2 linked regions of the Coturnix japonica genome follow. The protein of the gene in region 1 interacts with the protein of each later gene in a biochemical or structural test. Links are inferred from orthologs where the notes say so. Each region holds a gene or a part of one and is shown in the gene's direction. Other genes may lie near its edges.

What was found. The genes of interacting proteins can lie anywhere in the genome.
Region 2: the proteins of JUN (region 1) and RUNX2 form a complex in vitro, tested with the Homo sapiens proteins (2 studies listed by BioGRID). The link is inferred for Coturnix japonica from reciprocal best matches to the Homo sapiens genes JUN and RUNX2.

What each region holds. Positions count from the first base shown.
Region 1 is NC_029523.1:23,599,133-23,602,967, reverse strand, and holds JUN (transcription factor AP-1), read left to right. Parts: upstream 1-1,187; 5' UTR 1,188-1,711; coding exon 1,712-2,656; 3' UTR 2,657-3,281; downstream 3,282-3,835. UniProt on the Homo sapiens protein: Transcription factor that recognizes and binds to the AP-1 consensus motif 5'-TGA[GC]TCA-3'.
Region 2 is NC_029518.1:99,721,878-99,725,923, forward strand, and holds the start of RUNX2 (runt-related transcription factor 2), read left to right. Parts: upstream 1-1,242; 5' UTR 1,243-1,273; coding exon 1,274-1,573; intron 1,574-4,046. UniProt on the Homo sapiens protein: Transcription factor involved in osteoblastic differentiation and skeletal morphogenesis. Essential for the maturation of osteoblasts and both intramembranous and endochondral ossification.

The sequences.
Region 1 (3,835 bases):
GTGTGATTCCAGCACATGGGTGAAGTGGATACACTGAGTGCAGCCAGGTGTGCACAGCAGGGAGGACCGGGAGATGACTCTATAAAAGGAGCAGTAACTTCTATCAGTCAGTGCATCCAGACATTCACTTTTAATTCACAGCTCTTTTTGATTCTGTTTATTACATTGCTCCCTCCCGTACTTTAAGTGCTAATTATGTTATTACATCTAGAAGAAAAAAAATAGCACTTAAGAGTTTTAAAGTGCATTTTCAAACCGAGACTTAAGTTTGTCAGCTTCGTATGTCACACAAAGCGATGGAGCCCAGCAGCGAAGCAGCAGCGGCAGCACTTGTTGCCCCGGGTTCCCGTCCCGTCCATCAGCCGAGCTGCGAGTCCCCGGTAGCTGTGGAGCAGCACAAACCTCCCTCCCCGACCGGATCCCTCCATCTCCAGCCGTTCCCCTTGGCCAAGCTGCGCTCACACACTAATACCAGCACAGCTCTACAACCGGGAGGACAACTTTAGGAAAACCCATCCAGAGCCAGGCTCCTTCCCGGCAGCTTTTTCCCCTCTCATACTTTGGGGAGCTCCCGGCCCTGGGAACAGACACAGCGCTCACCGCAGCGGCTGAAGGCAGGCGGGGCTGAGGGCAGCCGGGCCGCCCGTCCCCGCCCGCCGGGGCTCCCCGGGACGGGAGGAGACGAGGCCGAGCCGCCCCCACCCCAGCGCCGCCCGCCCTGCGCTGTGCCCCCGTGCGGGGCGGGGGCGGCCCCGGCGCTGTGCGCGCCCGCCCCGGCCCTGCCTGGAAGCGGCGGGGGCAGCGAGGCGGGGAAATCACGTGAGGGCTCCCCCGGAGCGCCACCTTCAGGGCCGTACCAACAACGGGACCGGGGGGGGGGAGGAGGCGGCGATGCGGCGGGACTCAACGCGACGTGGAACGGAGGAGCGCGGCCCGGCCCCGCCGCACGCAGCATCTCGGCCCCGAGCGCAGCACAACGCACGGGCTGAGGGCGCGGGGCGGCTCGGGGCGGCATCGCGGTGCCCCGGTACCCGGTAGGGCAGCGGTTGGTTGGTACGAGGCCGTCGAGCCGCCCAACCCCGCTCGGAGCTCGGGCCGCGGTAACCAGATATTCAAAAACAAGACGTCAGCCCACAATGCCCCGCGCCGCCGGCAGCATTACCTCATCCCACAAGGCCCCGCGCCGGCGCTGAGAAGCTTCTAGGGGCGGGGTGTCCATGGCGACCGGCTGCCATGCACCGCGCCGGGCCAGCGCCACGCCTCCCCCGGGACGGGCGGCGGCAGCCAATGGGGAGCGCGCGGGGTGACATCATGGGCTATTTTTAGCGGGCTCCCGGTCGCTGATAAGTGAAGGGCTGCACGGAGCGAGCGGGCTCAGAGCGGGGCGGGCGGCAGCGAGAATCAGCCGCCACAGCGGGCACGGCCGAGCGGAGCGCGGAGCCGGGAGGTACAAGCGGCAACGGCGGCAGGAGCGGCCCGGCCCGGCACAGCGCGGAGAGGCGGCCCGGGGAGCAGCACAGCGCACAGAGTACAGAGTACAGCGTACAGCGCACAGCGCACAGCGTAGGCCCGGCGGGCCCGGCCCGCGCCGGGAGGAGCGGCGTTGTCCCGGCGAGAAGTAAGGAAGGCTCCGGCTTGCTCTTTCCCCCCAAGCCGCTTGGCCGGGAGCGGTGTGGGGCGGCTCCCGGCGCCACTTTTTGGGCTCTGTTCTATGAGTGCAAAGATGGAGCCTACTTTCTACGAGGATGCACTGAACGCCAGCTTCGCGCCGCCGGAGAGCGGCGGTTATGGATATAATAACGCCAAGGTGCTGAAGCAGAGCATGACGCTGAACCTGTCCGACCCGGCCAGCAGCCTGAAGCCGCACCTGCGGAACAAGAACGCCGACATCCTCACCTCCCCCGACGTGGGGCTGCTGAAATTGGCCTCCCCGGAGCTGGAGCGGCTCATCATCCAGTCCAGCAACGGGTTAATCACCACCACGCCGACCCCGACGCAGTTCCTGTGCCCCAAGAACGTTACCGACGAACAAGAGGGGTTTGCCGAAGGCTTCGTGAGAGCGCTGGCGGAACTGCACAACCAGAACACGCTGCCCAGCGTCACCTCGGCCGCGCAACCTGTTAGCGGTGGCATGGCACCTGTGTCCTCCATGGCCGGCGGCGGCAGCTTCAACACGAGTTTGCACAGCGAGCCCCCGGTGTACGCCAACCTCAGCAACTTCAACCCCAACGCGCTCAATTCCGCACCCAACTACAATGCCAACGGCATGGGCTACGCGCCGCAGCATCACATAAACCCCCAGATGCCAGTGCAGCATCCCAGGCTTCAGGCTCTGAAAGAAGAGCCTCAGACTGTACCTGAAATGCCGGGGGAAACCCCTCCCCTGTCCCCTATTGACATGGAGTCGCAGGAGAGAATCAAAGCCGAGAGAAAACGCATGAGAAACAGAATCGCGGCGTCCAAATGCCGGAAAAGGAAGTTGGAAAGGATTGCCAGGTTGGAAGAAAAAGTGAAAACTTTGAAAGCCCAGAACTCAGAGCTGGCATCCACTGCCAACATGCTCAGAGAACAGGTTGCACAGCTTAAGCAGAAGGTCATGAACCATGTCAACAGCGGGTGCCAGCTAATGCTAACACAACAGTTGCAAACGTTTTGAAGAGACTGACTTCAATAGGAACTGTGATGTTGTGGTATAACTAAACGACAAACCAAAAGCGGCGGACGCGTAAAGCTCACGGTAGAAGCTGGGAGGCTGTGAGTCCTGCCTGCGTGCTGCAAAGCACATGTGTGCAAAGACTGGGCAGCCTTCAGCTCGAGTTGGTGAAGCAGCCGGCACCGCTCCGAGGTGCTGATCCTGCTCCCATGAGGCGACAGATCTTCGTTTAACATTGACCAAGACCTGCATGGACCTAACATTCGATGATCATTCAGTATTAAAGGTTAAACTGCAATAGAAACTGTAGATTGCTTCATGTAGTATTCCTTAAGAAACAAACAAACAAACAAAAAGCGGGAGGGAGGTTTGTGGGAGGCTGATAAACAACCAAGAACTGTTGTTCCTGCCTTCAAGTAAATGGTGTATGTACATATCCTTTTTTATTTTATTTTATGAAAGTTGATTAATGTCAATAAACTACTTCATGACTTTGTAAGTTATTTTTATGTTGTTTATTTGGGTACTGCCCAGTATTGTTTGTAAATAAGAGGCTTTTTTTTAGCACTCTGAGTTTACCATTTGTAATAAAGTATAATTTTTTTAATGTTTCTGTTTCTGGAAAAAATCTAGAAGGTTCTATTATATTTAAAAAAAAATAAAATACTTAAAATGCATTTCCTCCTCACACCTTTTTCATTATTATTATTATTATTATTATTGCTAGTATGTGAGTTAGGAAAATGCCCTTAATGCTGGACTCTAAAGGGCAGGGATTATGTGAAACTCGCTCTGTAAGTGCAGGCATGTCCTGGAGAACGTGTGAGGAGGAGACGGGGGGAACCAGATCCTGAGCACTGAGCAAACAGAACTTTTTGAGTTGTCTGGGAGTTCCAGTTCCTAACCTTAACCTGGGAGGTTATTGTGTGTTGTAGTGGCCCTGCTGGGGCGGCTGACTTTGGCTTTAGGCAGGCTCTAGAGATGGTAGAAAGCCGGTGTGTGAAACTGCTTTGCACTTGTATCTGGCTGCTTGTGCTCTTGCATGCTTTTTATTAAGCCAATGCCCTCGAGCAGGATCAGGCAAGGGGCTGTTTGCTTTCCTTTGCAACAAAAGTGCTCTAGACTTCAAAAGTAGAAATATTCACCTTCGTTCCTATGCAGTCTTTCTGCAGTGAAAGGTGA
Region 2 (4,046 bases), on another chromosome or scaffold:
CTCTCATCAGCATAATGATGGCCCCAGCCGGAGAGCCCCGTATATATAAACCACAAACCCCCTAATCATTAGAAGTCCCAGCCTCCAAAAGAAAAAAAAAAACCGCATTCAGGACAAAAAAAAAGACTGCGGAGTTTTTTTTTTCTTCTTGTTTTTCTTTTTTTTTTCTTTTCCTGCGTGTTGTTTTTTCTCCCCCCTCTCGGCTCCTCCGCCTCCCCGCACGCAGCTCTTCGGCACCCGAAAGAACTTTTGTTGCTTTTCGCCTTTTATTTTTTTAATATATTCTTTATCGTTCTCGACCGACGCGATTTTTCGGAGAGCGGAGCGTAACTCCCGCAAAGCGACACCTGAATGACTGCTGAGACAGTGACTTTTTTTTTGCCTGCTGCTGTTCATCGAGAAAAGGGGGGAAAAAAAAAACCAAACAACCGCCCCCCTAAAAATTAACCCCACCAAACCAAACGAGCGATTCCAGTTACCCGGTTCGGCTCCCCGGACTCGGATCCAGCAGCGACTCAATTAACCGGACCGGACCGCACCGAAGCTGCCTTTCCCCACCGTTTCCTCGGGCATAGTTTCGGAATCAGCCCGCACAGGGCTGCTCCGGGGGGGGGGGGTTCTTCTCTTTTTTGCCCCCTCCCGACGATGCTGCCGTTTGGAAGCCGGGCGCCGGACTCGCCCTGAGCCCCGATCTTCGTCCCGGGCCGCTCCCGGCGCTCAGCCCCGCACCGCTCCTCGCACCGCAGCCCCGGCACGGCGCTAAGGCTTCGCTCCCTTTTTCTTCGCCGTTTGTTTGGCCGGAGGAGGAGGAAGAATTCTTCGGAGGAAACCGGGACGTTTCCCCTTCGCTCATTGCGAGTGACGCTCCTCTTGAAGCGGCGAGCACAGCCGGCTGCCTTCGCCCCCTCTTCAAGCCCGAAAAGCGGACGGGAAGGGAGAGGAAGGAAAAAGGAGAGAAAGTCGCGCGGCGCTGAGAGCAGGAGCGGCGGCTGGAAGCGGGGAAGGACGGACGGACGGACGGAGGAGAAGCGGCTCCGGGCAGGGACGCGCTGCGGGACGGAGCCGCAGCGCCGGGCGTAGCTGAGGGCAGCGCAGCCCCGAGCGAACGAACGACAACAGACTGAGATCTGGGGCTTTTTTTTTAATTCTTTTTGTGCCGTTGTGTTGTTTTTTTTTTCCTTGCTTTTTTCTTTTTTTTTTTTTCCCCCCGATTTTTTTCCCCCCCCCCTCCCCGCCCCCCCGCCCCCCAATTCGCTAACTTGTGGCTGTTGTGATGCGTATCCCCGTAGATCCCAGCACCAGCCGGCGCTTCACCCCCCCCTCCAGCAGCCTGCAGCCCGGCAAGATGAGCGAGGTCAGCCCGGTCGTAGTGGCCCAACAGCAGCAGCAGCAGCAACAGCAACAGCAGCAAGAAGCCGCCGTGCCCCGGCTGCGGCCGCACGATAACCGCACCATGGTGGAGATCATCGCGGACCACCCCGGGGAGCTGGTGCGCACCGACAGCCCCAACTTCCTGTGCTCCGTGCTGCCCTCCCACTGGCGCTGCAACAAGACGCTGCCCGTCGCCTTCAAGGTGAGCGCTTCTCCCCCCCGCGCTGACAGCGGCCGCTCGCCCCCCCTTCCCCATCACCTCCGCCCGCAGGCGTTGCGGTGTTCGCCCCCACCAGCCCGCAATGCCCGCCGTGCCCCCCCCCCCCCGGTAGTGCCTCCCGCGATGACTTCTGAGCCCCTCTCATCCCATCGTTCCTTGTGCCCCCACCCCCCCTCCATTCCTCTGTGCTGCCCCCTCCCCGCCCCAATCCTCTTGATGCCTCCCGCCCCCTCCGCCCGCCTCACTGAGCTCTGAGCCCATACACTGACTTTCTGTGCACCCGCGCACTGACTTCTGTGCCCCCCCCACTTACCCCCCCGCCCTCCGCCAATGATCTCCGTGTTTCCCACCCTCCCCGTGCTGCAGTAACTGTTCGTGTGCCCCCCTCTCGTTTTGCACGGACTTCTGTTGCAGACCTCATCCTGCACTGACTTCTGTGACCCCCAGTCCTACAAAGTTTCCTGTGCACCCCGGGCTTTCTTTGACTTCTGTGTCTCTCCCCCTTTCAGCCCCCTCCCGCCCCCCCATCCTGCACCGTGCATCCCCTCATCCTGCAATGAGTTCTGTGCCCCCTCTGTCCTACACTGACTTCTGTGCCCCCCCATTCCGCAACAGCTCCTATGCGTGTGCCCATTCCTGCCTTGAGTCTTTTGCTTCTCCATCCTACAGCGACTTCTTGTGCCCCTACAGTGCCTCCTGTGCCCCCATCCCGTGCTGCATTGCCTCCTGTGCCCCCCATCTGCACTGATTTCTGTGTCCCTTCTGCACAGTGTGTGTGTCCCAAGGCTCCGTAGGGTCTTCCGTGCCACCCTCGGTGCTCCAGTTCCTCCTGCCCCCCCCCCCCCCGTCCTGGCGTTGCCTCACATACCCCCATCCTTCTGTCTGCCATGCCCCCGCATCCCACTGTGCATCCTGAGCCCTCTCTGCCCTGCAGTGCTCCCTGTTTCCTCTCTGTCCCATAGAACATCCTTACCCCCTCTCTGCAGACCCTCTCATGCCCTCCCATCCTGCAGGGCACGCTGTGCCCCCCCCGTGCTGCAGTGTGTGCTGTGCCACCGAACCCTCCCAACCTCTGGGATCAGTCATGTTATTTCTATTCCCTTAAAGCATTGCCCCCCTCTGGGCTCCCCCCGTCCCTGTGCCACCACCACAGCACCCCACTGAGCCTCTTAGCAGCTTTCCTTTAAAAAAAGAAGTTTTCTTATAACGAGATTCATCCATCTGCAAGAGCTCAGTGCAGGGATGCAGAACGGGTGCTGCCTCCAAACCTTCCCTGAGGGGCACCCCCAAAATCCCAGCCTCGTGTCCCAGCTCCTGGAGCTGGGGAGGGGGCGCACATGGGTTTAGTGCAGGGATTGGGGTCCTGATGGGGGAACCCACTCACTTCTCCTGGCCTCCACGGAGTGGTTGGGGGGGGTGTTAAGATTCTCATTTTCTGCCTCCATCCCCGCGCACGCTGATGAGAGGAAAACGTTTATTAAAAGCTGCAGTAGCAGCCCCGGCTGTGTGCTGTGTTCTGCAGCCCTCCGTCCTCCCCACAGCCCTGCACGGCTGCACTGAGCCCCCCAACCATGTCCTAAGGCCGGCAGCACTTGCCTGCAGTGGCTCACGGGCACAGCCTGGGAGCAGCCCTGCACCCCAGTGCTGCCAGAACGACCCCTTGGGTTGTGTTTTCTGCATGCCAGCCACGCTATCTTTGTTTTGTCGGGGAAATAAAATGGGTCAAAACAGCTGAAAGAGCTGGTTTTGGTGTGTCTGGCCATAAAGGCGGTGTGCTGCTGGCACTTTGCTATCAGAGGGAGTAGAGATGAAGGCAGAGGGGCAGAGACCTGCTGGGTCTGTAGCTGCAGTTACCCTGCATAGGGCCTGCCTTGTGCTTGGGTGGAAATAGCAGAAAGTGGGGTGTGTTCTGCCACTGGGTCTGCGGGTGCTGTGGGGCCTATGGGGTGCCACCAGGTTACAGGGTGCCACTAGGTTATGGGGTGCCTCCAGTCTGTGAGGCTCAGGTCAGAGCTTGGCTCTGATTCCTGGCGTGAGGAGTTGTCTCCCAGGATCGCAGTTGTGATTAATTTGCTTGTAGGTGAGCTCAGTGTTGTAGTTCCTTCCTATAGAAGTAACGTGAGGGCTCTGTGTTATTGCTTCTGTATTTCTGCTTCCGTTTGAAAAGGCTGAGCGTGCCCCTGCCCTGCAGCCACCCAGAGCGTGCGGTCCCAGCTCACTGCAGGGAGGCAGTGGGGCTCAGCTGAGTGGTATTTAGGATGTTATTCCAGTACATGTGATAAAAGGACTTACAAAGAGCGAGAGCAAAGAGCGAGAGCGCATCCCAGCGTGTTTGTGCTCATAGGTTCTGATATTTGGGTGGTGTGTGGGGCTGCAGGCAGGTGTGGATGCGGGAGGTTTATCGATGTGCTGAGTTGTCCCTTCAGCTCTGAGCTGTCACACGCAGCATATAAGA